Linked DNA regions of Schizosaccharomyces pombe. The gene in region 1 interacts genetically with each later gene. Each region holds a gene or a part of one and is shown in the gene's direction. Other genes may lie near its edges.

Evidence for each region.
Region 2: mutations in pxl1 (region 1) and fic1 are lethal when combined (synthetic lethality), as found in Schizosaccharomyces pombe (2 studies listed by BioGRID).
Region 3: mutations in pxl1 (region 1) and ric1 impair growth when combined (synthetic growth defect), as found in Schizosaccharomyces pombe (one study listed by BioGRID).
Region 4: mutations in pxl1 (region 1) and bgs1 are lethal when combined (synthetic lethality), as found in Schizosaccharomyces pombe (2 studies listed by BioGRID, with this or other methods).

The regions. Positions count from the first base shown.
Region 1 is NC_003423.3:2,708,826-2,715,930, forward strand, and holds pxl1 (paxillin-like protein Pxl1), read left to right. Parts: upstream 1-3,342; 5' UTR 3,343-3,686; coding exon 3,687-3,715; intron 3,716-3,771; coding exon 3,772-5,059; 3' UTR 5,060-5,382; downstream 5,383-7,105. Other genes in the region: asn2 (asparagine synthase), read right to left, coding at 1,023-2,669; erb1 (WD repeat/BOP1NT protein), read right to left, coding at 5,599-7,105.
Region 2 is NC_003423.3:1,542,992-1,546,655, reverse strand, and holds fic1 (contractile ring-membrane anchor Fic1), read left to right. Parts: upstream 1-1,880; 5' UTR 1,881-1,889; coding exon 1,890-1,937; intron 1,938-1,990; coding exon 1,991-2,761; 3' UTR 2,762-3,164; downstream 3,165-3,664. Other genes in the region: multiprotein bridging factor Mbf1, read right to left, coding at 3,611-3,664. UniProt on the Schizosaccharomyces pombe protein: Involved in the ingression of the plasma membrane during cytokinesis, leading to the separation of the daughter cells.
Region 3 is NC_003424.3:4,501,833-4,510,385, reverse strand, and holds ric1 (Rab-specific(Ryh1/Ypt6) Ric1-Rgp1 guanyl-nucleotide exchange factor subunit Ric1/Sat4), read left to right. Parts: upstream 1-3,504; 5' UTR 3,505-3,544; coding exon 3,545-6,703; 3' UTR 6,704-6,900; downstream 6,901-8,553. Other genes in the region: grp1 (GRIP domain-containing protein), read left to right, coding at 536-2,788; CK2 family regulatory subunit Ckb1, read right to left, coding at 6,999-7,391, 7,597-7,876, 7,956-7,978. UniProt on the Schizosaccharomyces pombe protein: Probable component of a guanine nucleotide exchange factor (GEF) that may be required for efficient fusion of endosome-derived vesicles with the Golgi.
Region 4 is NC_003423.3:2,350,257-2,360,816, reverse strand, and holds bgs1 (primary septum and spore wall linear 1,3-beta-glucan synthase catalytic subunit Bgs1), read left to right. Parts: upstream 1-3,452; 5' UTR 3,453-4,573; coding exon 4,574-9,763; 3' UTR 9,764-9,895; downstream 9,896-10,560. Other genes in the region: DNA-binding transcription factor, MADS-box Mbx1, read right to left, coding at 1-816, 889-972, 1,124-1,270, 1,338-1,388; SPOM_SPBC19G7.04 (protein-DNA covalent cross-linking repair protein), read right to left, coding at 10,051-10,429, 10,473-10,560. UniProt on the Schizosaccharomyces pombe protein: Alternate catalytic subunit of the 1,3-beta-glucan synthase (GS) complex. Synthesizes 1,3-beta-glucan, a major structural component of the fungal cell wall. Required for the assembly of the division septum and maintenance of cell polarity.

The DNA.
Region 1 (7,105 bases):
TTCTTTAAGCTTGCTGCTGATGAATTAAGAAGAATAAATGATTACCACGCTCCCCGGGACAAGATTATCTGTCTTTTGAACTGTTGCAAGGTTATTTTTAGCTACCTAAGAAACGTTGTTAAAGAGGAGTCAGCGGATATGTTTGTTCCCATTTTGATTTTTGTAGTCCTTCAAGCAAGGCCGGCCCACTTAGTATCTAATATTCAATACATACAAAGGTTTCGTTCTCCCGAAAAACTCACGGGAGAAGTTATGTACTATTTATCTACTCTAATGGGAGCTATGTCCTTCATCGAAACACTGGATTGTAGTTCTCTAACTATAACGGAAGAAGAGTTTAATGCACAAATAGAGAAGTCGATCAAGAAGATGGAAGAGAGAAAGTTGAGCGAAAAGTCTGAATCAAAAACGGCCGTAAACGAGAATGCAACCTACAAGGATCCGGTTCTTTCTCGAGGACTTTCATCATCCATAGATGTATCGACTGGTGTTGCATTGGTAAATTTACCAGAAGAGCTTGAAAATATGAAATACTTGCAAATAGACACTCCTGAAAGCAAAGAATATCCTCGTAGCACAAGGCCGAGAGCTCTTCTCATAGTGGCTCTTTCACAACTGATTCTGGAAAAAGATCACGCAGAAACTCAAACAAGTATGTTGGTTCTAGCGATCGACCTCCCTATCGAGTATCTCGTGCATATTCCTCGTCTGCTACCCATTCTCCCATCGTTCATGAAGAGCAGCCAGTGGATGATGGATTACAACAAAATGATGACCTGCGAGAGGCAACAACAGCGTCTCTTGAGACAGCTGAAGCTGAAAGGCTACAAGCTCGGGAAAAGGCTGAAGCAATTACGGCTTTAAGAGCTATGTTTCCAGCGTTTGACAGTGAAGTGATTGAAGTTGTGTTAAATGCGCAACAAGGAAGGCTTAGTTCATCTATTGATTCCCTTTTGGAGATGAGTTAACATTTGTAGTTTTATGAAATACTCAAGTATAATTTATTATTATTATTATTATTTTTAAATACAAACTTCTAACTTTTTACGACCTGATGTTCTACCGGTTCCAGGAGTCATCTTTGCTGCTTTAGAACCAAACTGAATAGCCCTCTTTTTTTCTTGACTAGCTAAGGGACAACCTAATCGACGTCCTAATTCACGTAAAATTAGTTTGTCACCTCCAACTAAATCTAGACGCATTTTATCAGTAGTTTTCATTTTGCTAAACAAAGCCATCAGACGCTCATCGAGAAAAGGATAACGCACCTCTTTCCCTTGATTAGACATTACCCTGTCATCTCTGCCCAAGTTACGATGTGGAATACGATCAATGTCCAATTGCAGTTCTTCTTCAAGACCGGCCATACCTTTCCGTTCAAACGCTCGTAGGTGCCGCATATAACCACCGAGCTGCTCATCAGCCCCCAGGCCACTGATGAGGACTTTAGCTTTTATAGTATAGGAAGGTAATTGATGTTTCAGTTTGATATCATCCACGTTTTGTAAAAGTACACCACGCCCTTGTGAAGCAAAATAAAAAGCTAATCCAATAGAAAGATCCATAACTGAATCGTTCGGATAGATAAGTGTTTTGACTATTTCCTGTGCTTCACATACTTCTGTATAAGGAACGTTTATAGCAACAAAATTCCATTTTCGAGCAGGGCAAACTGAAATAAGCTCCTGCCAGCCTTGTAATCCAGTTTGTCTATCAGGACATACGTCGTATGCATCAAAATTGTCAGGAAGAAGTCCCGTCTCTCTGTCACGGTATGTCTCTGTAAATCTTGGGTTTTCAAAAGCCACATTAATTAAATCGATGGACTCGTTATTGGGAACTATGTCGTGCATTAGCCGTGCTAATACACCGCAATCCACTCCCCCAGAGTAAAGAACGCAAACTCGGCTATAATGACTACAGTCAAGGTTTGAAGAGCACAGTTTGGGGATTGTTAAAACTCTATCTTGAAGCGCTTTGATAAGATATGTATGCAATGTGTCCACAGTGTCTGAAGAGATTGAGCCCATGAGAAAGGACTCATCCACAGGAGGAAGAGGGTTTGTTTTTTCCAGTTGCATTAATGATTTAGAGAAGTTAATTTTTGGGATCAAGTCCACCTGCACACTATGAAACCCAGGCTCAACTTCTCGGAAATCACTAGAATTTCCTACACTTGAGAGAACGAAATTACTATCTCGTAAACTATACAAAAGGGATCTTCTTCCTAAGCGATCTCTTCCCCACCACAATGTGTTTGTACGAACTTGGTAGTAAACAAAAGCAAAAGGTCCTTGAATACTTCCCAAAATTTTTTCAATGTCGCCCGGGTTATTGTTTAAAAGTTCAAAAAGTTTTGCACCGTCGTTTTCATTACGATTGAGCGTAAATTTGTGATGATCGCTATGGTTTATTTGCCAAATTTCTCCATTCCAACACAAAACGTTTCCAAAACTGTCAACATGAGGTTGAGGCGTTAAATGATCAGAAGGGCCACGTAAATGCAAAACGCTTGACTCAAAGTGCAAATTCCAAGGTCCGCTATTCAATTTATGCTTACCAAAAAAATCAGGTCCTCTAGCCCGAATCCTTTTTCGTAAAGCTGAAAAAGATGGACTTTCAAGAAGATTATCTCTGTCTTCCGCTAAGGCGAAAAGAATTCCGCACATAAACTATTCTCAAACACTTTTGCTTCTAACAAATCTACAGTCAAAAAAGTGTTTTTTCCTTTAACGACGTTTGTGTGGTACAGTGTGATCGTAATTTTATATACAATATCATTTTGCGACACATTGCAACGCTTATAAGTAACTACACACTGAACAGACTCACGGGTCTACATATTTTTTCTTATACAATTATACTTACAACTGGTAAAGAATTTTCTTAGGTCAATCTGTAGCTTGAAAGCCAAAATTAGGTTTCTATTTATGAAACAATAAGCGAAATGCTGTATGCCTGACAAAGCATAATGGGGTAGTTAATGACATTTAAAGAGCTGTAACAATACAGTAAGCATTAATAACGCGCTCCACAATAATCTACTGCCAAAGTATAAAAAAAATAAATTATAAAAAGATATTGTACCATATTATGAAATCGCAACATATAAAATTGTCCAACAAATAACATTGATTTCGTTTGGAACATTTTCTGCATAGGAATGGCTTAATTCACTTTAATTACTAATATATTCGCATTTTTTTACTTTCTGCTGGTATACAAACATTGAATACGTACTCTCTAAGTATTCGTTAAAGGTACAATGTTACCTATTATGAGGCTGGTTTCTATAACAACGAATGTTTGTTTATATTTTGGAATATACACTTAAACAAAGCCAACACTTATTAGCTAAAACACTTTGGATAAAGCAAATATTACTGCTTTCTAAATAATAACTACTTGCTTACAATTGCATTTTTTTAATACAGCTAGTTTTTTTGGGGGACTCCGCTCTTTGAGATATATATCCTTACGTTGGCAACAATTTTCTATAAGTTAATCCCAGCTTGATTTTTGTTTTTCCTTCCTTATCCTTCTCTTCCTATTTTTTATCTTGTTTTTAAGTGTTGCGGCTAGATTTATACCCTGCGAGCTTGGCTATCCTGATTTCTTAAGGTTGTCAACGATCCTGAATTCTTTCCGTTGATTAGTGTCCTGATAGTTGAGAAGCATATCAGCAAATGCATTCACCAATTCCAGAATTACCAAGGTAATCTATTGTCTTATTGTTATTACCCAATTAGGTATCTAACTTCGTTTTTGTAGATTTGAACGTCGATTGACTGGTCCTCGTGCTGCTCCTTCTTCGCCGGTCTCTACTAATGGCTCCCCGCTAAACAATTTAGTTCGTTCTCGGTTATCTGATGGAGCACTTAACTTTACTGGAGGTCGAATAGCTACACCATTACCGCAACCAAGTTTGAAGACTCCTGAATCTCCTTTGTCCAAGAGGAATCCAACAATAAAACAAAATCGTGTACGTTTTGATCTGCCTGATGACGAGCTCTCTCGTTCTAATGTTTCGTCGCCGGAAAAAACACTACTAACCTCTGCTTCTACTTCTACTTTCGATAGCTTAAAAAAGGAGCTTTTACCTGAATTGCCATCTCTTGCATACAGTGACGACGATGAGTTTCCTAGTTCGCCGGAGGAATTGAATTCACATGTTAATTATCCAGACGTACGAAATGTTTACGATTGTCATACCGGTTTACAGCCGCTTGTTGATCATGATTGCATTGAAGACAGACAAAAAACCTTCGCATCCAAACAACTTCCTACTCTTCCTTTACAGAAATCCAGTAAACTTTCCAATCGTAGACCCGCTTTGCATTCTTTTCATTCTGCTCCTGCTAATAGCTTATATCCTTTGCCCACCCCCACTTCACAATTGCCTAGCAACTTGTCCTCAAATAATTTATTTCAATCAGATTCACTTAAGCCTTCAATGGTATCTTCTCATACATCTACAAAACCAGTTCTTTATAGAGGCAATTCTGAAAAATCCTGTCATAGTTGCGGCGGTTCTTTACGCGCTGGCAGAATAATTAGTGCTTCAGGAAAGAAATTACACCCTCAATGCTTCAAATGCGATACTTGTTCCCAGAACTTAGAGCACGTTGGATTTTATTACCGCGAGGGAAAATTTTATTGTCATCTAGACTATCATGAACAGTTCAGTCCTCGCTGTAAGCACTGCAAAACCCCAATTGAAGACCAAGCGGTCCATATCAACAATGATTGGTTTCATGAAAATCATCATTTTTGCGCTGGTTGCTCTGAAGTTTTTAATGTAAATATACCCTGTATTTACCGTGACGACCTATACTGGTGTCAGACTTGTTATGATAATAAGTATGCTGTTAAGTGCAAGAAATGCCGTAAACCCATTTTGGGGATCAGTGTAAAAGGGTCTGATGGTGAATATCATAGCCAATGTTGGACCTGCGGAGCTTGTAATGCCCTACTTGGAGATGAGGGTTATTTTATGATAGAAAATACCCCTATTTGCCGTCCTTGCAAGGCGATATCAGTCAAGTTTAATTTGGATTAACTCAGACTTACTCATCACTTTCTTTTTCTTTTTTTTTTGTTATTTTTTCACTTCTTTCATCGATTTTAGCTTTATAAGGAAAGCTGTCTTGGAAATCTTGGAGATTTTAAATCATTTCATTTAATCCACAAAGTCCAGCATGTTTACTTGCATTTAAACTTGCTGTATTTTTATAATTAAGCAATTAATGATTAGGTAACTATAGATATATAAAAAGCACTATTGAATTTCAACGGTTACGATTTTTGATATCACGTAATACTTAAATACTTTAGATAACTTACCAAAAAATAAAAAATAAAAACATATTCAGTTTGCACAAATGCATTTTAAACTTTCGAAAACCCCTATATTCCTATTAAATATCCAAAATCAAGTACGAAAACAATCTTTTCGACTTGTTAGCAAAACTATAATACAGCATTGAAAAAGTATCTTTTGCAGTAAACACTACCAAACATTATTTTTAAAAGTAGAGTTTTTCTAAATTTTAAAGCAAGTGAAGAAAACAAAAATATTTAAGACGTTTCAAACCTTTTTCAAGTCCACATCCGAATTTCTCCACCAGCACCTGCACTGAATAACCAGGCTTCTTTTGGATGCCAGCATGTGGATAAAACACCGACATTATCAACCACTTTATGATTCCGCAAAATCTTAAGAGGAACAATCAAGGGATTAGCCAGAAGGTCACTGTAAACACGACCGTGGAACACTTGAACATCACCATCATCAGAGCCAGAGCAAAATAGTGGAAGGGAAGGATGATATGAGACATCGCGAAGAGCACGTGAATGATATCGAAGATTTTTATATGGTTTAGAAGAAAAGTCTAAGTCGAACCAACATAGCCTTTTATCATAGGAACCTATTATGACATGGTCCCCACTCGAATGGACACTTAAACTCGAAACCCATTTGACACCAGTTAACAAGGTCTTTACAAGCTCTTGCTTAACAAGATTGTATATGCGGACATATCGTTGAGTAGCAACCAGAAGATAAGGCATAGTAGGGTGAAACGTAACAGCTTGCACAGAACCTTTAGACTTAGAAAATGGCGATTGACTTGCACCTCTTGACAACTGATGAATAAGAACCGCCTGGCTAGAAGAAGTAGGAGAAGAAGTAGCTAGGTAATCACCGCGACGATGCCAAGACAAGGACTTAATGCTACTGGGAGTAGAAACAGTAGCATGGACTATACCACCATGTAATTGTAAAGATTGTTTGGCTCCTCTTCTCCATATTGCACTAGATTCTTGGTAAGGAGCAGAAGTAAACAATTCTTTAGAAGCTTCAATCTGCTCGTCAGAAAAGATCGGGGGTGTGATGAAATAGACTGTTTCATCAACAGCAACAGCAAGCACTGGACTATCTGAAAGAGGTCCCCAAGCAAGTGATTGAATTATAGAGCTCTTTGTAGAGTGACTTAAAGATTCATTAACCGCATCCTCATCGCTATCAATATTATGTGCATTACCAAAACTGTCCAAGCTGCATTTCCAAACACAACGACCAGTCATTACTTCCCAAATACGTAAAACTCCATCATCACCTCCACTTGCAAGCCAATTTCCGCTAACATGGACCGAAAGACAACGAACACGACCTTTATGACCGATGAAAACATTGGTGCAGCGTGTCGGAAATGGACGAAGCTCAGAGGGGGTAGGAAGTTTAGGAAGTAACGATTCTGGATCAATATTAAGTTTGGTACGTCTAACACGGGGAGCTAAATAAAGATCCAAGCAACGTTCAAACTTCTCCTTTATAAGGTTTGAGTAAGCAGGAACAACACGTAAGGATTTATATTTCTTAGGAAAGTCCGAAGACTGTTTTAAGTATTCTTCAGGAGGGTTATAGCTTTCCTCGTGTGATGGAGGAGGAAGCTTAGGTGCAGGTGCATAGTCCAACTTTCTCTGGTTAACAGTTGCTTGATCATCATCCGCCCAAAGATCATGATCTGCATAATTGCTTTGACTTTCGCGTTCACGTTCAGCACGCTGTTCAGAAGTGAGAATTCTTCCTTTACGGATAGCATAA
Region 2 (3,664 bases), 1.2 Mb from region 1:
AACGATCAGTGTTATTGATAAGAAAGCGTCATACTCGTCATGTTTAGTAGGGTCAATGACGATAGGAGCAAATTTTCAAATTTTCATAAAAATTCGGTTTTCAACACAACCCGTCACGTTTTTATCACGCTCTTCCAATTTTACAGCCTTTTACATAATCAAACTTCACAATTGCATGTATAAACACATACCTATTTGACTTAATCAACCAAACGTACTAGTAGCAGGTCGTCGTCATGAACCAGAGAATTCGTAATTCAGATCCAACTAAGCGATGACTACTGTATAAATGATGAAAAGACTCGGTCAACTGTCCAAACTGAAATTTACAAACAGAAAAATGGTTTTCGTCAATTCAATCGTTCAAAAAGTGCTCAAAGTAAACTTTTTAGCAATTTCCTAAGTAGTTTCTTTCTTCTTATGTTGTAAGTAAAGGGTAAGTTGTAAATTCCTAGTGCCACACTTCCACCTGTTTCAAACAGATGACGTCATTGCATCACTTTGCATGATTGAACTTAACCAATCACGTGCGGGGCTCTGAAGAAGGGTAACAAGGAAATGGGTCTGGAATAAACCGAGCAAGACGATACTTAAAGTACTGCTGTGTAGTTTTGTATTTTGTGTTATCGTATCGTTAAGAAACGTATCGATAGTTTGGGGAATGGGAAAGGATGGACGGAAAGTAGGATGTTATTGGTATATCATGGAGTGCGTGCTTTTTAAGCAAATATGATGTTAGCAATATGTAGTAAAAATGGTGAGTTTGTGTATAGTGCCATGAATCTTATTTCACTCTTAACTCAAGCTTATTTTATATTAACCGATGAATGAATAAATAATATATCTTTGATGAAGCTAAATCGTTGCGTGTATTTCTGATATTATGTTGTATGTAGGTAAGTGTTTTAGGTTGGACTTCTGCGTGTTTGTAAGATGTGTACGTACGCTGAGTAATTAGCAATGTATGAATAGATCCAGCAGTTCCAGAAGACCTACGAAAAAATAAAATAAAATAAAATAAAATAAAGTAAAAAATAAAATTAAAATAAAAATAAAGATAGGTTATACGCAGAAATAATATACAAGTTTCAAATATTATGAGTACTTGTCACGAATTCAATTATGGAGAATTCTGTACAGTAGGATCTTTCAAAAAGTCTTTACATAGACTTAGATTGTATATATAACATACCAACCCTTACAACATTTAAATAACAGTTTTAATAGCTAATTCATTTGTTTTACAATGAAATCTTTTGCTTACATTTTCGGGAACTTATTAGTCAATACGGGTTGGCATTTTGTTGGGATTACGGATCCGAAAACTACCCAAAAGATAAGCAAAGAAAATGAAGTTTTTTAAAAACAAAATAAATTTGTATTCGTGAAACATAAAAGAATAAAAAAATTAAGTTAGAAACATTTTATGCAAATCATTCCATTCAATTAGCAATTGTGATGGAATTGGTTATACCAATAGATATTTTACACTCATTTTAAAACAATTAAAATTAAGTGAATATATTTGTGTGGTGTGTACTGAGTCAATCATTAATGCAATTAGTTATATTAATAAAGTTCTTTTTGTTTGCGATAACTTTCGTCTCTCTTTTTTTTTTTTTTTTTTTGTTAATTTTTAATTTTTTTTAACACGGCATCTTTCTTCACGAATTTCCTAACTGGAGCCATCAATATCGTAGCGTACACAAATTTCCGTTAAAGCATTTTAAATTGCAGTAAGCTACGTTAAATGAATGAACGAAAGCTAACCCCCGTTATCGGAGACAAACCAGCCCCCTCCTACAGAAGTTGCGCTGCACTGCTTAAAATCCGCACTCGAATTGTATAAAGTAGCTTTTTTGTTTATAACCCGTTTCTCCATCTACCATATGTCAAAGAATCCTCTTGGAACGTTGGTTGTCCGAATATGGAAAGCTGTAAGTCTTAAAAGATGAAGATTTGTTTTGTAAAACTAACGTGTCTTCTTTAGAAAAATTTACCAAACAAGGCTCTAGTGGGCAAACAAAGCCCTTACTGCGTTTGCAGAGTTGGTGAGGTGGTAAAACGTACGCAAACGGATAAGAGAAGCGGTCAAGAACCATCGTGGAATGCGGTACTGGAGTTTAACATTCCCAGTGAATCTTATCATATTATGAAAATAACCGTTTTTCACGAGGGATTTCGAAAGCATCCACACTTGATTGGTGATACTGTATTGTCTTTTGAGAAAGCGATGAAAGAAGAGTTACAAAGTGAATGGTATGAACTAAAAAATGAGTTCCAATTTGCTGGCGAGCTATCTGTGCAATTCAAGTTTATCCCCACTGATCCTCTATACTTTGACCGTGCTTCTTCTAAGCCAGTTTTACAATTTCCATATTCTAGTGTCGCCGCTTTAACTCCTGTACCTAAAAAACCCTCCAAACCCTCCAAACCTCGCAAAAAGGTACCTGTCTCGCATCCTCTTCCTCCAACTCCTCCTTCCAGGGAAGAGCATGTTTCGGTGCCTCGCGAATCTTCTTTATTCACATATGAGGATGATCCCTTGCCTTCTTTTCCCAGTCCTTATATGGTTGATGATTATTACACGCAAGATGTTTTCGTGTCTGACAATGTCAATGATTATTCATATGGTGTACAAAACCCCACGAATCCTAGATTGTCCGTTGAAGACTACGATGCCAACCATTCCTCTCTACCTCCCGTCCCCCCACCTCATTTAATTCTTCCTACAGCTTCTTCTTCCCAAATATTCCATTAAACCACACATTCTCTTTTTTTTTATATTCAATGGTCACTGCATTCATCGATTTAGGTGGTATGGTATAAATTTCCTAATCTTAACATCTTTTCATTTTTTTAATTATGTATATACAATTTCCCTAAAGCCATGCACGCACTTTGATTGAATTTCTCTTGTACATACAGGCCTTTACCACTTTTCAAGTCTTAATAATTTTTTTACCTCATAAAGATGAGCGGTTCTAGTTATTATCCAAGGTTGTTTTGTTTTTTTAAACACTTCCATCTCCTCTTTTTCTTTCTCTCCTTTTTTGGTCTCTTAATTCCATACGATTGGAATGTTTAACATTCATCCTATATTTAGAGATTGAAAAGTGTACATAACTCATATATTTCTTGAATTTATTCATTAAAACTATCAATTTTATATTATCAATTTTTTGGAACAAAAACCCCTTTGATCGTATTTTTAAAAGCTTTTTACTAAACTTCATTTGTATTTCTGATATAAGTCATTTGTTTAACTGTTTTTTTTAGACACCAATGTAGCAACAGAAACATCTTCAGCCTTGCGACCCATTACTTCCGATGAAAACAAATATAGCTGCTTTACCTTACCCTGCTATGAACAACGATACATTTCAAGTCAAAATCTAAAAGTCATTACAATACAATAGTTACTAACATCAACTTGGACGGAAAAAAAGTACATTGAAAATACTATACATAGAAACCTATATAACATATATACAGGTATATATTTTAAAGAAGGCCTGGATTATGTATAAATATTGATAACATCAAAACGAAAATGAAACATTATTTTCTTTTTTATTGTCATGAAAACGGAACCACAAAGTAATTGTGATTACTTCTTTTTAGGACCGCCCAAAGGAGCACCAATGTTTTGGCCACGTAATTT
Region 3 (8,553 bases), on another chromosome or scaffold:
TTATTGAAATATACGAGCTTAAAATCAGCTAGCGTTGCTTTGCTGAGAGTATATCTTCTTGCTATTAATTCCTTGTATCATTTTGGACTTACAAATAAACTTGTTAAAAAACATTCACTGTTTATTGCTTGAAGAGTTTTCAAATCTTCTAAATGTTTTCGGATCAGGCCTTGTGGTGAATTTTTATTATTAATAATAGATTGGGTAATCTCGGTTTCAATTCCATCGAATATAAAATTATCTTCAATCAATTTATATGGGCAATTTCATAGTTTATGCTTAATTTTGCTATACTAATACGGTACACAAGCATTTGATATTGTGAGATAGCGATACATTCAGTTAAAGGGTTAATCCATCTAACAGGGTGCAGTAGAATAGAGTACGCTAAAGTGGCAGAATGTTAACACTAGAATATTGTGCCATACCCAGTCAATTACAATATCTAACAACTAATATTTCCAAGCACGTATAAGATTAAATAACATTATACGATTTAATCTATGGGTACTTTCTTTCTTGGTTATCAATCAAAATGCTGGGAAGATTAAAAGATCAATTGAACATGACACTGGCCCAAGGCCAGGAAGAAGCTAAGAATCGACGTAGGCAGTTTCAAGAAGAAGATCAATTAAGAAGAAATAATAAATCTTCTAATAAGCTCTCTCAAAATGAAGAGGACGCGAAAAATATGGACTCCGTCGTACAAAAATTGAATGAACTACAAAATAACGTTGTAGCGTTTCAAAAGCTTCTACAGGAGAAAACTCCGTTGTCAAGTATTCAAGACTTAGAAGGATTCCGTGAATTTATGGAGAATTTAGAGCATCGTTATGAAATGACAGTTAGCGAAGTTAGGAGATTATCGCATGAAGTGAATGATTTACAGACTGATCGGGAGAATTTAAAACATCAGTTCGAGGATCAAATTGAAAAGCTGAACTCTGAAATAAGTAATCAAAACAGTTTAATTCTACAGAAAAAAGATGAGCTAGAAAAGTCAATACAAAGATGCTCGGAACTTGAAGAGAAGATTAATTCGTTGGAAAGTGCACAATCCATTGAGCAGGAGGTTATTTCCAGTTTGAAAGATGATAAAACAGTAGAGACAAAAAATGACGTTCCCGAAGTTTCAAGGCCCTCAACTGATACTATAGGTGTCAGCAGTGCTTTATCAAAGAAGAAGAAGAAAAGGAATCGTAAAAATCAAAAGAAAAAGTCAACTAAACAAAATATAGAAGCGACTACAGAGAATGATGCGCTTTCCGAGTCCATTAGTACGCCTGACATACAAAAGGTAGCACAAAGTGAAGATGTAGATGCAGAACAAGATACAGTTGCCGATAGTAAAGAAGAGGAACGAAGAGACATAGCTAATGATGATTTGATTGTTAATGCCAATGCCAAGGAACCAATGCATCATTTTTCTTTCACTGATTTAGATACATTATTGAACTGGCCGAAATATGTGTTTCATCACCATAAAATACACCTAGCAGATACCATTCCTTTGGTTTTTTTGGATTTGAAACCGAAAGAGTATACCGTAGATTTAGAAACGCCAAAGCTTGTTGAAGAACTTACTAAGCAGTTACATGTTGCCGAAAGTACTTTAAAGGAAAACTCGGAAAAATTTAAGCAGAACTCTGAAAGTTTGAAGTCTAGAGTTGATAACTTAAACGATTATATTACAAAGTTGCAAAACGAAATTGACGAATGCAGAAGAAATTTACTGTGGGCAGAATCGTCATGTGAAACAATACGAGAAGAAAATCAAAAGAATATTAAAAAACTGAACGATGCTGAATCACTCAAAAGTAGGTTACTTCAATCCCGAACGCAGATGCAGACAGAACTTGATTCTTACATCACATCTAATAGTCAGCTTAAAGACGAAATTACTTCTTTGAAACAAACAGTCTCCGAGAGTGAAGCAGAACGGAAAAGACTATTCTCCAGTGCACAGGAAAAGCAACTTCAAATGAAAGAGACGGTAAATAAACTTACCTCATTACAAGAACAAAACAATGAGTTCGACCGTCAACTGAAAGAACAGGAGGAAGATTTGCAAAACAAAGAGGAAGAACTGACTGAACTTCGTAAATTACTCCGTGAACAAACGCAGGATAGTCAGAAATTACGTTTATTAGTTGAGCAATTGGAATTGGAACGTCAAGATTTGAAGCAGGCTGGTGAAAACCATTACTCGAACCTATCTTCTGATTACGAAACTCAGATTAAAAGCTTAGAATCCAGTCTGACTAACTCCCAAGCTGAATGCGTTAGTTTCCAGGAGAAAATTAATGAACTAAATTCTCAAATAGATGAACTGAAACTTAAGTTGAATGAAGCTAATAAAAAGTATCAGGAGCTGGCCATTTCTTTTGAAAACTCCAACGTGAAAACTCAATCAGTTGAGCCCGATAACGGTTTATCGTTGGAGGCCCTGAAGAATGAAAATCAAACACTTCTCAAGAATTTGGAAGATTCGACAGCACGATACGAACACCTGCAAAAGTCATTCAAAAATGTGTTCAATCAACTACGTAAGCAACAACCTTCTAACCATGGGAGAAACAGTTCTGTAAGCCGCTCTTCTTCGTCAGTGGAAGTTAATTCTAAGCATCCTGGCTCGGATGACATGCTAATAGATAAGGAATACACACGCAACATTCTTTTCCAATTTCTCGAACAGAGGGATCGTCGGCCTGAAATTGTGAACTTGCTGTCGATTTTGTTAGATTTGTCTGAAGAACAAAAGCAAAAGCTTTTGTCTGTGAAATATTAATGTGGTAAAATTTTCATTCCGTTTTACTGCTTTTTTCTCTTTCTTTGTATTATTCATCATATTGTTAATGTCCATTACGATGTGGAACATTTGTTTGATTTTGTATGCCGCTTTCCATTCTTGGCAGTGATTTCACGCGATAATATCTTTTGGAAGGGTATGCTATTATAATGTTAATAACGGTCTTTTGCATAGAACCCACGAATTCAAATACGTTTTTTTTTTTTGCGAATAATTAATTAAACCAATCAAGTTCTTTGTCTTGTTTTTGAAATCTTGAACCGAGCTTAGGTCTATTCGATTTATAATTAACTTTTTTCAAACCTCTCATTTAGGGAAATGAATAGGAAATCATGTACCAATGAATGAATTGAAGCCTTATTGTAATTTTATAGCTGATGGCTAATCTATTGTACAATTTGACAATACTTTCGTTAACAAAGCAGAGCATAATTTGCCATTCCTAAAGTAAAAATGGACTAGAAGCTTTTTCCTAGATTACTGCATTCGTTTGACATCTAGTAAATAAAATATCAGCTCCATTATACAATAATATAAGTATCCTTCAATTGATATGCAAGTTGCAAATTAACAAATTGCGAAATTATTATTTAACGAATTAAGTTGTTCCTTTTGTTGCACTTTTTAACGAAAATGGTGGTAGAACATCAGCGTCAACTGTTGATCCTTACGTTCTCAAAGGGTTCAGCATCCTTGGAAATGGTTAAACTCCTTGTCGAATAAGGTGAACTATTCATGTACTTCCTTCATGGAACACCTCAGAGAATACAATTGTCCTCCAGAGCAATACAAATATGTCGAATCCCTAAAGTGTCGTTCTTCGTTGTTTTGACTGAAACCGAGATTTTAATATATCAAATTCGACCCTTGACACTCATATCAAAGATAACAAAGTCTCAGAACTTATTTGAACGTCATGGAAAGAACAAAAAAATAGCTGTTAACTCTGAATACGGAATTATAGCGGTTGCAACTGAAAAGAACTATGTAGCTGTCTATCATTTCACTTTAAATGCTTCCAAGCCTGTACTAACGCCAAGTCCTTATTTAACTCGATACGATGATGGACCTGGCGAAATATTTGGGCCTATAAAGTGTGAAATCCAATACAAGCTTGCTATGCGATATGGAGGTGGGCTTAAATGCCTGGAGATTCAAAGGGACTCCATCGTTTATGCTGCAGATTCTGCACCAATTATTCAGGTTTCAACGCTGGAAACAACTGACCCTAATAAGTTGTGGAAAGTGTCAAGTAAACAGTACGATTTACGAGAAGTCACTTGGTTTCTGGATCATTCTTCTCTCATATCTCGACTCTATTTCGATGTTAAAATCGACACTTTCTTTTGGATGTCAACTGATGGAAGAGTTTATGCCAATATCGGTGTTTCTTCCAACACGAATACGAAAAGTCTGTTTGGCCTTTGCGTACATAACCCTGTAGATTTGAATAAGTCAGATAATGACAAGGACATTAATGAGGACCTGGAATCCAAGCTTAGAGAAAAGAAGGCGACTGTTTTATCTACAAATGCCAGATTTTCTCTTTTATATGTTGGTACCGCCGATGGAACTGTGTATGCTTATGAAATACGAGATTTCGGTCGCCAATATGTTCAAACTCATTCTTTTAAATATTCGGCAAGCTCCGGAAAGGTTAATCATATTGCTACGACAGGTGATGGCCATCAAGTTATGGTTGGATACGATGACGGTTGGGCTACACTGTCTCCTTATCTCAACTTGTGTTGTGCTAGTAGTGAAACTGAATATTTTAATTTTGGGTTATCCTGTGGCTTTTGGGATAGAGATAGTTCTTCCTTTTATGGACTAGGATCTAAAAATTTTTCTTCTACAGGTGAAGCTGAGGGAACGGGATTATCTACTCCGATTATCGCCGAATCCTTAAAAGAAAACGACGAGTTTTTTGCTATGGAAAAAGAGAACGTTGATATCCAGTATTTGTCACAAAACGACAATACAAATGATGTCTTATATAGTATTACGGATTCTAAACAATTTATTAGCACTATTTATATTTTACCTTTTTTAAAGAGCACCATAGTTTCAAGTGTACAAAGCACCTTGCAAGTTTGTGGAGCTCAAACTAGCGATCGGTTATATATTTCGAAGTCATATGAATTTTGTTCTAGCGTTAAAAACAATTTTGGCATTGACTTTTGGGATCAAGTTGAGTATCCTCAACCATATGTTGCTTCTGAATGGCCTATTAGATATGTTTCTATCAAAGATGATGGAAGTTTGATAGCAATCGCTGGGCTTCATGGATTAGCTATATATGTTTGCTCAAAAAAGACCTGGTTCTTATATAAAGATGCCAATATGGAACAATTAATCAGTGTTACTTGTCCAATGATTTGGTGCTCACAATTTTTGCTAGCCGGTGTTGTTTGCGAGTCCAACTTTGAGCTACACCTATACAAAGCAAAAGGGCCTTTAGACGATAGAGAAAACTTGGCTAAATTATCGTTTACTTCAACAATTGTGACAATGTCAGTCTGCGACGAATATTCTTTGGTTGTCTATACAGCTGATAATTTCCTCCATCACATCAGATTCGATATAAACGAATTAGGAAGATTAGAACTCGACTATTTAACATCCGTAAATTTTGCTCCAATATTCACTACTCCATCCAGAGTTCGAAGCATAACGTTATTACTACCAAAAGACCTTGCAAATATTCAACCTTCTGATTTACTTTTTTATGCAGTCCTTCTGGTTCTCATTAATGGAAAACTTGTTTTGTTAAGTCTAAAAAAACAACATTCTAAAGAGCTTTTATATCAGTGCAGCATGCTAGCGGGAGACGTTGAGTTTTACTTTATCAATGGAAGTCAAGAAATCCCTTCATTATTTCATTCTATATGGATCATGACGGGAAAGGGACTTAAGCTATGGTTATCTTTTAGCGAGATCCTTTCCTCTGTTTTGATAAATACTAAAAACCTTATAGATGGCCTTCCAAAGTTTCTCAATACATCAAAAAGAGTATCTCTAGAAAATTTTCATCGTTTATCTGTTGAAGACCTCAGATCGCCCAGCTTTGTCTACAAAAATGGGGTTGATTGTAACTTTGATAACACACATCTTGCTAAATTGATTAAAAATGTAAATATTTCTGAAAAGTTTCAAAAGGAATGTATAGATCTGGAATCTCAGGGATGTTTGCTGACTGTATTAAGCAATTATGGACTTCTATTAACTGCTTATACCCAGGGTCATAAAAACTTAGTTAATAAGATGGAATACGCTCATATCCAAATAGGTGTTTATCCATTCCTTCCGGAAATTGTTCGAGCACTATTACTGTTAGATAAACGTGAGCAAGCTATTGACTTAGTCAAGACATATGGGCACTTGCATTATATCAATTTTGTGTTAGAAAAATTACTTTCTTCATCATTATTGACCTACAACTCATCACAGCGAGATAAATTGCTTTATGAAGTATCCTTATTATTTAAAGACTTGCAAGAGTTTACCACTTTTAAAATCGTTCTGGGTTGCCTGCGAAAAACTGAAGCTGAATACTGGCCGATGATATTTAAGTATTTCGGAGAACCAAAAGACTTAATGAAAAAGTGTTTAGAAACAGAAGATGTTAAAAGTGCCGCAGAGTGTTTGATAATATGGCAGATCCATCAGGGTTCAGCCAGTTGTGCTTCTACCTTTCTAAGTATATACGAAATGGCTTTAAAAATAAAAAACTGGGACGTTTGTACGGAGTTATCTAGCTACCTGGTGAGTCTGGATCCCGAAAAACGTTTACTGAAGACAGCGCTGGAACTTCTCGATGAAGGGCCTGATTCCAAGGACATTCGTCTTTACGATCAATTTAACAATTTGATGAAAGAAGTGGATAAATATTAACCACAGTATATGTCATGATCAAAACTAAATTATTAAAGCAATTATCAAAGTAAAAAAAGAGGTTCAAAGCTGAATAAGCATAAAAGGTTTTAGCTTCAATGATGATTAGAAGTTTGAAAATTACGCTCTTAGATAAAAGGAGCTGATGCTTCGGGAAAAATCTAAAAACGTAAAAGTTCATTCTAGTAAAAACTGTCATAGCTATAATGTAAATAAAATTTTTTGCCTTGGTGATTATGGGACTTCGAAGAATCGGGTGAACTTCTATTGTTAATGAAGATTAAGCAAAATGCCTTTAAGTTATTGCCAGTTTATTTTTTGATTCAGCTTCGGCTCCCTGTAAACGCTTTTTTTGCTTTTCTTTGTATACATCTTGTTTTTTAAAGGTAGCAGAATAGCTATGTACTTTGAAACCAAAAATACGTGGAATGTAGCGTTCTTGAGATTTAGGGACCGCAAGTTCAGGGTATACCTGAAAAAGCATGTGAGGGAATGAGGTTCCAAAATATGCACCATCAATGGATGCATGTCTTTGTGATTTTGGTGTGTACACATCCTCACACCGAGGACAGTATAATTTAACGGATTTTGTATGGGCAATATCCGACAAGCCGACGGGCAACATTGGCTGTCCGTTGCATAAAACTCTAGGGCAATGCCCAAAGTCACATTTTTTGTATTTCTCAAGCTAGAAAGGATGTTAGTCAAAATCCAAAGCTAATTAAAACGAAATAGTACGGTATGACATAAATGTAATAAAATTGAAGAATTGAAAGATAAGTCAAGTTACACACTTAGTGTCCATTATACTTGTCTAATGCCTGTTTTGTTCACGAAGATTGTATCCAAACTTAAAAACAGGAAACTAGAAGTTTACAAACATAATTGCTTACCATTTTATATAAACCCTGAGCCGTTAAGATATAACGGGCGTGAATAAGGCCGTACAAATGACGAGCACTAGCTTCTACCTCATCTTGTACTTCCTCTGGTAAATCAGGATCCAATACATCTAAAATGAGGTCTAAAGACTGGGAGTAGTGTGGAACTTCATGACTCAATCCAGTCAAATTAAAGCGATCCTGGATGAAGTCTTCGTCGACTTCGCAAAAAAATTCGTTTCCTTTTAGTCCTAAAAACCAATCAACCCAATATTGAGAATCATCGGATTCACTGCAATTAATGATTAATAAACGGTCCAATATGGCCAAAATGTAAAATATTTTTTTATTTAACCCTAATTTGCACAAACCTTTCCGAAGAGTATAGCTGCATGCTTCGTTCCGATTTACGTTGAAAAGCTGCACCAAAAATCCTAATTGCTTAATGCAAAATTTGATTTCCGTTTCAGCCTTAGCAGCTTCTAATATATGGAAAATTTGAAGAGAAGTACGTTGTCGTATCGTAGTCTTTCTGGAGCTCCGGTGTTTTCCTTCATTCTACACTAAAGGAATGAAAAACTAATTAGCGTGTTACTAGAAATTCAATTTGCTGCACTTCGGTATGTTATCTAGCACTTAAACGTTTATGCACTGGGATGCACTATAGTAGCACAATAGTTCATTCTATTAAAACTGCTTTAGCAACAAAAATGAAATATTTAGCGTTCCATCTGCTACAAAGCAACTTCTATTTTGTTATTGCTGTGTTATTTACATTATACTTGATGTTGTACCTTTTAAGGAATAATACAGGTGTGACAGTGACACTTTGTAGAATGATATAGCTATCATTGTAGTTAAGTCTCTAATATTGTACTGCTTAATAAGAAGTCGCAATAGATAAAACGTTGGTTCAATTGGAAATTTGAACAAACAAACTGTTCTCGCTTCGAATCCACAGTGAATTAT
Region 4 (10,560 bases), 360 kb from region 1:
ACTTAGTATGTTCAACTCATGAGTATCAATAAATCCGTTGGGCAATTCATCAAATTTTGGATGTTCATATACCATAGAAGTAGGATTATCGTGAGAATATAATTCTCCACGGTTTTCTTGACCCAAATTATCGGGAAGAAAAGGAGGCGTAATTTGATTTATAGCAGAGTCCAAAGGTGTTATAGGTGTTGAGCTGGGATCCAAATAACCAGAAGAAGGACTTTGAATAAAATCAGTTAGCCCGTCAATAGAAGCATGAGAAGTATGCAGCCTGGATATTCGCGGTTTTCCATTACGACGATTTTTAAAAGATTGGCTGCGACGAACAGAGCTACGATCAGCTCGGGAAGATGATTGTCCATATGCTTGACGCTTAGGAGTAAGGAAAGGGATAAAATTATCGGTTTGCGGAACATCATTATGTTGAAAAGACAGTGTAGGATTCAACGATTCAGGAGGAACAGAAAAAGACGATGAAGAAGACGGTTCTAAAGGTGAGTCAGAGTAATCTCCAGAAACTGGAGAGACAAAAGAATGTTTGACTGTTGGAGAAAGAGGAAGGTCATTATAAACCGACGCATGGTCCGGTATGGTAATCGACTCTATTTTCTTGTTCTCGCTTGCAGTAGTTGGAGTAGTATGGTACGTGGTAGAGGATTTGATCGTGAAAGATTGAAAGTCATTTTCACTGTCGGTAGCAGAAGAGCAATTATTAGAAGGTTGAGCACTGTATGTGGTAACAGAAGCAATCCGCTTATCTTTAGGTCTCCAATTATGAAGGGATTCATCAGATGGTATATTAGGATTTATGTTTCTCTTTCTCCCCAAGGGATTATGTTAGTAAACAGAATACAGGACAAGCATAATGATTGCTGATAAGTGACTTACCAGAGGGTCAACCGTGACAAAGTCCTTGTTCAGGAATTTTTGCAGCAAGGCATCTCTTTGCTCTTCCGGTTCCTCAGAAGAATACTAAAGAGGTGTATGTTAATATTAAAAACTTGTAAAAACATTGCCACGTTTTCTGGTTGTTGACCTTCATCACCTTCCCTATAATGTATTCACTTTACATTGAAAGGATATGACAGAAAAGGATCAGAAAAACGGGAAATATGAAACATACAACGTGACAAGCATTTTTAGAATCAAAAATCATGACCACCACTTTAGCATCACACAAAACGGAGAGTTCATGTGCTTTTTTTATCAAGCCAAGTCGTCGACGATTAAAAGTAAGAGCCTTATTTTTTGCATCGGAAATACGCTGTATCTAAATGGTACGTTAGCGAGGAGAAAAGGGGTGTATGAATGGAACCAAACCACTATGTAGCACATACAGAACGGCGAGGAGATGAAGGAGCAGTACTAGGAGGAGGATTAATATCCATAGTTAGAGTCCAAATATTTAGGTAATAATATAAATAAGAAGTAGAAAAAGAGCGACAATTAAGAACCAAAATAGTAAAAAAACAACAAAAAAAGGATTAAAAATTAAACCAATTGACTAAATCAACCGAGGAAATTCAGTGAAGTCTAGAAATAAAAATTAGGAGAAAAGGGAGAAGGAAAAAAGGGCGCAAAGAAAGTGAGAGTTTCGACTATTCTTATATTCTTGTTTCGTGATTATTGACAGTGTAATAAAAATCAAAATTAAGGGAAGGCAAAGACGCATGCAAGGAAGTGCAAAACTTAAAGGTTGAAATACAAAATATGATTATCCGCTAGATTCACTTGAATGTATCAGCTTGACTTGAAATGCAGCAAAACAGTAATGGGTACCAAAATGGGATATAATCTAAAGGGATAAGAATACAAGGAAAATGTCGTTAACGTTTTGGGTAGACGAATGAAAAAACCTTTTAATGTAGAAAAAAGAGATAACTTTGGAAGAATTTTAAAAAAGCAGGCAAATATTAGGATATCATTCAATCGGCTCCTATGACTTGAAGTCTAACCCAATACTAAATGTGCAAAAAAAAATAAGGAAGCCGATCACCAAAATAAATGGAAACCAAATAAAAAAAAGCCAAGGATGAAATTCAAAATATTCAATTTGAGACTTTCAAAATGTAAACAAAGCGACAATAACGGCAATGTAAAGTTTGCGGAGACAAAAAATTTCACCTTTGAATATAAATAGAAACACTGAATAGGCAGTACGGAAAAAAATTTTTCTTAAATCAACCCCAGACTTGAACCAAAATATAAAAAATGTGAAATTTGGATGAAAAAGAAGCGTATACAGCGTATCAGGAACGTATAGTTTGTAGGAAAAAACGCTGGATTTATCCTTTTCAAAATCTCGTGGTAAATGTACTGAGCCTTTCTATAAAGCCCACCCAAGCCCTGTAAGGTACCGGACGAAAAAAGTCTCGCTACAGGGGGTTAAGATGATAAGAAAGGCTAGGGTGCTAGATTATTTATCTAATAAGGTAGTGTAAAGAAGTAAAACAAACTAGAGAAGTAGAAAATATAGGAATTAATGAAATGGAGAAAATGAAAAGAGCAGAAGGTGCGACAATAGAAATAGTTGTAGTCAAATGATTGTAAGAAGTTGTTTAAGTGTGACAACTAAATAGTCATCAAAGATTTAAAAGAATATCGCTGTAATAGTCGATTGATAGATAAAAATATTTACAGGATGTGTTTGTTTTTGGGGTATTCGTAAGGGAAATTGCCCAATCCAAGTCTTAACCAGAATATGGAATGGAAACCTTTTCCAATGCCGGCACATTGTTTCTTCCTTTGGATTAACCAATTGCTTTTAAATTCGTACTCGGTTGTCTTTTCATCTTCTTTAGATCCTAACCAGATTTGTTAGCATTCAAATCCGTACTTTTCCCACGCATTCAATACCCAGACATTGTGCGTCTATGATTTTCCCAATTTTCGGGATTTGCGAAAAAAGCCCAATGCCTAGTTCTCTTCATAAGCTCTATACTGTAATAATCATACCTTTGCTAATTGGGATTCGGTACCTTCTAGCTTTGTATTATTTTTACTATTGTTTACCACCCATGTAGACAATCACATATTAGAAATTAGTTTAACAATTCCAAAAAAAAAGAACACTCGTCGCTTATGTTCACTGTAACTGAATTATGGTTTCAGCTACACTTTCTTGACTTTTTGTAGTTTGTTTACTTCTTTTCCAATTCAAATATAGCGTCCTTAGTTTGGTTAAAAGTATCCATCTAAAACGGTAGCTGGGTATAACGATTGATAAGATGCTACACAGTAGCTGCTTATAAATTCTTTCTTTGTTTGACCGGCTATGGCTTTGCTTTGTATGGGGATGGTTTTTTAAGCCTCCTTGTGCCTCGTTGGTGAGTAACCTGAGCCTCCTACCACGCCAGCCTCTAAATTGCTTACACTAAAATAGGCCTCAATAATGTGCACTACCCTTCCCCATTTCGCTGTTAGTTTTGAAAGAACCGGAATGAGTACAACTTGCAGACAACAAACTAGGAACTGGTGGGTTTTGGCTATTTTCACCGTTCTCTTAGTGGAATTACTCTAAAATTTTTGAAAATATATTGATTAATTAGAGTAAATTATCCTTTTTAACGTCAAATTTTTGATTCTGTTGCACGGAATTAATTTTTTCTTCCTTCTTATATATCTATCATTGGTTCCTTCTTTTCTTTTTCCTCTCTTTTTTCCTATTAGCCTCCATACAAAAAGGTTGACTCCATCTTAACATTTGCCAAGTTTTCTTGTGTGATATTATCTTTACGTTAGTTGCTCCATCACTGCTAAGTTTTCGGTGTGTGCAAGATCACCTTTTGTCGTAGCATTGTGTTTGTGTGGACGTTTGGCGTTTGTCCCGGGTTCCTCTTACCCTTTCGCTTCTCTTTTCCTTCCATTTTCCCATCTCCATTTACTTTTTTTTCGCTTTGAGAGATTGTAAATAAGCTTCTGCATACGACAATTTAATTGTTCAATCTAAAGTTTATGTGGAAAGCGATTTTATATTTTCTCCTTTTCTTTTAAAAAAACGTCCTTCCTTGAATCGCTTTTTTAAAAATTTGGTCAGTTTCCTAGGTGTGCATTTGTAAGTACTTCTTTTGGTGCTTGCTGTTTTATGGTATTATTATTGTTGTTTTTATAATTATTTCTTCTTTTTTTTCGCCTCTTTTTTTATAATTTGCATACTGTATTTTTAGGTTCCGTTCATTCCCTTTTGAACCTCCGATATCTTAACTACTCTTTCACTTCGTGATCCCACCCTTTTTCCTACTTTTAGAGCTTTTTCCGCCGTCTTCTCTCATCCGGCATACATATATCACCCTTTTTTCTTCTTTTTAGGATTTGAAAAAGTCTTTTACTTTTTTCATTTCAATCAGCACAAATTTTTTTCTCTTCTACTCTTTTGCCCCCATTTTCCAAGGCTTAACTTCTTTCTTTTTAATCTTTTTTTCAAGGTCTCTTAAATTTATTTCTTTCTTTTGAACATCGTTCCTCATTTGCTAGCATTCTTTCTCACAAATTCCAACTTTTCTTTCTTTCAATTCTTCTTAATTTAAGCATTAAAATTTGTCCTCTCTCCTTCTTTTGAGTCTATTTATTCATCATGGATCAGTATTGGCGTGAACAAGAGGGTCGTGGACTCTTTGAAGATGATGCCAATAGTTATGTCTCTGACGATGATACTATGAGCTCTCTGACCCGTATGATTTACGATAAAAACTCTTCTCGTGATGCATTACATTCTGATTATGATAGCTCTTCATTTAATGTCGATTCCAGTTCAGTTGCTTATCCGGCTTGGAATCAAGCTGGTGAAGAGGCTCCTGTTACTATGGAAGGTGTTCAAGAGATCTTGTTGGACCTTACAAATAAACTTGGTTTTCAAAAAGATAACATGCGTAACATTTTTGATTATGTTATGGTTCTTTTAGATTCTCGGGCATCTCGTATGTCTCCTTCCTCGGCACTGCTTACTATCCATGCCGATGTCATTGGTGGTGAACATGCAAATTTTTCAAAGTGGTACTTTGCTTCTCATTTTAATGACGGTCATGCCATTGGATTTCACGATATGTCTTCCCCAATTGTCGAAACAATGACTTTGAAAGAAGCTGAACAGGCATGGAGAGATCAAATGGCAGCATTTTCACCCCATCGCATGATGGTGCAGGTGTGCCTTTATTTTCTTTGCTGGGGTGAAGCTAACAATGTTCGTTTTGTTCCCGAGTGTCTTTGTTTTATATTTGAATGTGCTTATGATTATTATATCTCTTCGGAAGCTAAAGATGTCGATGCTGCTTTGCCCAAGGAATTTTATTTAGACTCGGTTATCACCCCTATTTATCGATTTATTCATGCACAGCTGTTTGAAATTTTGGACGGCAAATACGTCAGACGAGAAAGAGATCATTCTCAAATCATTGGCTATGATGATATTAATCAATTGTTTTGGTCCTACAAGGGCCTTCAGGAAATCATGTGTGCTGATAAAACTCCGTTGTTAGATTTACCACCGTTTATGCGATATCGACATCTTTCCGATGTTGAATGGAAATCATGTTTTTATAAGTCCTATTACGAGTATCGTTCTTGGTTCCATAACGTTACCAATTTCTCACGTATTTGGGTAATGCATATATCTGCTTACTGGTATTATTCGGCTTATAATTCCCCAAATTTGTACACCAAAAATTATCACATCCGCTTGAATAATAAACCTCCTGCTTCTTGTCGTTGGACAGCTTGTGGTTTAGCTGGTGCTATAGCTTCTTTTATCACCTTGGCAGCTGTGGTTTTCGAATATATACATGTTCCTCGTCGTTATCATTCTGCCAGAAGGTTGTGGCCGAGTATGCTGTTATTGATAAGTACGCTACTTCTAAACATCGCACCTGTTGTTTTCATATTTGCTTCGTCTACGAAAGAGCAGCATTATGCTTCTCGATTGGTTGTAGGAATTGTGCATTTCTTTTTCTCGTTGGTCTGTGTAGTTTACTATTCGATTACGCCGTTACGAAATTTGGTTGGTTTCACCACAAAAAGGTCTGGAAAAAACCTTGCTAACAGATTTTTCACCGCCAATTTCACTCCGACCTCAAAAACAGGTGCTTTCGTTTCTTGGTGTCTTTGGATTACAGTTTTGGTGGCCAAATTCTTGGAATCTTATTTCTTTTTAACTTTGAATTTGGCAGATTCTATCAGATTTTTGGGTGCTATGCGACCTTATGACTGCCGTGATTACATTTTAGGAGCTGGACTATGCAAGGCTCAGCCTAAAATTCTCTTGAGTTTACTGTATTTAACTGATCTTTCTCTGTTTTTCCTTGATACTTATCTATGGTACATTCTTATCAGCACTATCTATTCTTTGGCTTATGCTTTTTGCCTGGGTATCAGTGTGTGGACTCCTTGGAGAGAATTGTTTTACCGCGTTCCCAGAAGAATATATACAAAACTGTTGTATACCGATGACATGGAGATTGTCTTCAAGCCAAAAGTACTTATTTCTCAAGTTTGGAATGCCATTATTATCTCGATGTACAGGGAGCATTTGATTTCCCGTACCCAAATTCAGGAGTTGTTGTACCATCAAGTACCTTCTGAAAAGGCAGGCTATCATACTCTTAGAGCTCCCAACTTTTTCTACTCCCAACAGGTTAAGCATTATAAGCAAGATTTGTTTCCGGCTAATTCAGAAGCTGCTCGAAGAATCTCCTTTTTCGCACAATCCTTGGCTGAATCAATACCCAAGACTAGTTCCATTGATGCCATGCCTACCTTCACTGTTTTGGTTCCTCACTATTCTGAGAAAATTTTGTTATCTTTAAGAGAGATTATTCGCGAGGAAGATCAACTTTCTCGCGTAACTCTATTAGAGTACTTGAAGCAGCTATATCCTGTGGAGTGGAGAAATTTTGTTGATGATACAAAATTACTTGCTGATGAAAATGATTCTGTTATTGGCAGTATCGACAATGAAAAAAATGGAGTAAATAAAGCATATGACCTTCCTTTCTATTGTGTTGGATTTAAATCTGCGACTCCGGAGTATACTTTGAGAACAAGAATTTGGGCCTCTCTGAGAACTCAAACTTTGTATCGCACTATCAACGGTTTCAGTAACTATAGTCGTGCCATCAAACTGTTATACAGAACGGAAACACCAGAATTGGTCGAATGGACAAATGGTGACCCTGTGCGATTAGATGAAGAATTGGATTTAATGGCAAACAGGAAGTTCCGATTCTGTGTCTCCATGCAGCGGTATGCTAAGTTTACCAAAGAAGAAGCCGAAAATGCAGAATTTTTATTAAGAGCGTATCCAGACTTGCAAATTGCATATATGGATGAAGATCCTCAATCTCGACATAATGACGAGCGCCATCTTTATTCTGTACTGATTGACGGTCATTGCCCCATTATGGAAAATGGAAAGCGTCGACCCAAATATCGTATTCGTCTATCTGGTAACCCAATTTTGGGTGACGGTAAATCTGATAATCAAAATATGTCTATTCCTTACATTAGAGGTGAATATGTACAAATGATCGATGCCAACCAGGATAATTATTTGGAAGAATGTCTAAAGATTCGTAGCATTCTTGCTGAATTTGAGCAACTTACTCCTCCCTTACATAGCCCTTACTCGGTAAATGCCAAAGCTGCTGACAATCATCCCGTAGCTATTCTCGGTGCTAGAGAATACATTTTTTCAGAAAATACAGGTATGCTTGGAGATGTAGCTGCTGGAAAGGAACAAACATTTGGTACTCTTTTCGCTCGTATTTTATCGTTGATTGGTGGAAAATTGCATTACGGACATCCTGATTTTATTAATGTTTTGTTTATGATTACTCGTGGCGGCGTTTCAAAAGCACAAAAAGGTCTGCATGTTAATGAAGATATTTATGCAGGTATGATTGCTCTTCAACGTGGAGGACGTATTAAGCATTGTGATTACTATCAATGTGGTAAGGGTCGTGACTTGGGTTTTGGCTCAATTCTTAACTTTACTACGAAAATTGGAACGGGTATGGCGGAACAAATGCTTTCAAGAGAATATTTCAACCTTGGCACACAATTACCGTTTGATAGGTTTTTGTCATTTTTCTATGCCCACGCTGGATTTCACGTCAATAACATGGTCATCATGTTTTCTTTACAGTTATTGATGCTTGTTATTATTAATTTGGGAGCAATGTACACTGTTGTTCCGGTTTGTAGATACCGCCAATTTGACTCCTTGACAGCTTCTTTGTACCCTGAAGGTTGTTATCAATTAAAACCAGTTCTCGAGTGGTTGAAGCGTTGTATTTTGTCTATTTTCATTGTCTTTGGTATTGCTTTTGTTCCACTTGCTGTTTGTGAATTAGGGGAACGCGGTGCCATCCGAATGGTTATTCGTTTAGCGAAACAAATATTCTCTCTATCTCCTATTTTTGAAATTTTCACATGCCAAATATATGCGCAGAGTTTAATTGCAAATCTTACGTTTGGTGGTGCACGCTATATTGGTACTAGCAGAGGTTTTGCTACTGTTCGTGTGCCGTTCTCACTATTGTATTCTCGATTCTCTGGACCATCACTTTATTTTGGGTCACGACTTATGTACATGTTATTGTTTGGTTCAATTACTGCTTGGTTGCCGCATTATATTTACTTTTGGATTACGCTGACTGCTCTTTGCATTAGTCCATTCCTTTACAATCCCCATCAATTCGCCTGGACCGATTTCTTTGTTGATTATCGTGAGTTTATGCGCTGGCTATTCCGCGAAAATTCACGCAATCAAGCAAATTCATGGATTGGCAACTGTCAACTTTGCCGTACCAGAGTAACTGGGTATAAACGTAAAATATATGGTAAGAAGGCAGATAAAATTGCTATGGATTCCCCGCGTGCGAGAATTACTACAATGTTTTATGGTGAAATATTAGGGCCTCTAGGAACACTATTTTTCACGTGTATTCCATTTCTCTTTATCAATTCCCAACCTGGTAACGATGATGAGACCCAATCTACTAATGCTTTTATTCGCTTGATTATTATGTCAGTTGCTCCTTTGGTTTTAAGTGCAATTATTGCTTTTTTCTTTTTCTGTTTAGGAATCATGTTACGTCCTATTCTCGGCGATAGATCTAAAACGTATGGTGTATATTTGGCTGGAGTGGCCCATTTCCTTTTTGTGTGTGTTGATGTTGTTGTCTTTGAAGTATTGGGCTATTTGGAAGGTTGGTCATTTTCAAAAACTTTACTTGGATTTGTAGCAATCATTTCAATTCACAGGTTTGCTCATAAATTTTTTATCATATGTTTCCTGTCTCGAGAATTTCGTCATGATGGTGCCAATTTAGCTTGGTGGTCTGGACGTTGGAATGGCCAAGGTTTTGGATATATGGTTTTAACGCAACCATGGAGAGAATTTGTGTGTAAAACTACAGAGTTGAATATGTTTGCTGGTGATTTCCTTTTAAGTCATCTTTTGTTGTTTTTGCAAGCGCCTGTTATTTTGATTCCTTATATCGACAAACTTCACTCGATCATATTATTCTGGCTTGTGCCCAGCAGACAAATTCGACCCCCAATTTATACCATAAGACAAAACAAACTTCGTCGTCAAATAGTTCTTCGCTATGCCACTTTGTACTTTTCATTGTTTATTGCCTTTTTTGTTCTTTTAATTTTGCCTTTTGTGTTTGGTAAATCAGCTGCTGGAACTTCAATGGATAAATTTAATCTGATTCAGCCAGCGACAAAGATTGTTTATTCTTCAACAAAGAATTCTTCTGTCTAAAGCATTTTATTTTTTTTTAAAGGATTTGTGTGATGTGGATGCTTATTTCTCATTAGAAATGCTCTCAATTAGGGTAAATAATAATTATTATATTTGCATTTTGTTAAATAAAAAATGACTTGAGTGTTGATTAAGTATCTAGTACTTGAGAATATATTATCTAAATAAGTAATGAAGAACGATTGATGGTTAGAGCAAACACAAACTTAATGTCTGTTACATGAGAAAAAATTATTGGTGCACCGTCTGCCCGTAATGTGATATTGATTATGTTATTACGTTCACATTTACAAATCGCTTGAAGAGATAAGGCTAACGGATTTTGAAACGTTTTGTTTAGCATCTTTAGTACGGTGGTACTCATCTGAAAGTTTCTTCATAAGTTCCTTGTGAGTGATGTGTGGGTGTAGCTTTCGTAGTCTCTTAGAATTCTCCTTTAAAAAAATTTGAAATGCATTGGGCTGTTTTATTTTGGGGCAAATTTGTTTAATTTGTGATTTGCATAACCTACAAACTTGTTTCTGTGGATTGATGGATTTTGAGTGCCTTCCATAAAGTTTGTTGCATTTTTCATTAATACACAGCCATTTATACTTGAAGTCAATATCATAATTGTGTTTAGAGGTAATTTCTATATAAGGCATATTGTTCATAATTCGTTTACCCCTTAATAGGTTAGTACATTTATCATTAATTTGCATTGTCATACCATGCTTTGAAGCAGGCGCCATGTGGATTTTGCATTTCATTATCGATGATCCAACAAGCTAAATGGCAAACTTCATGGGCCAAAGTAT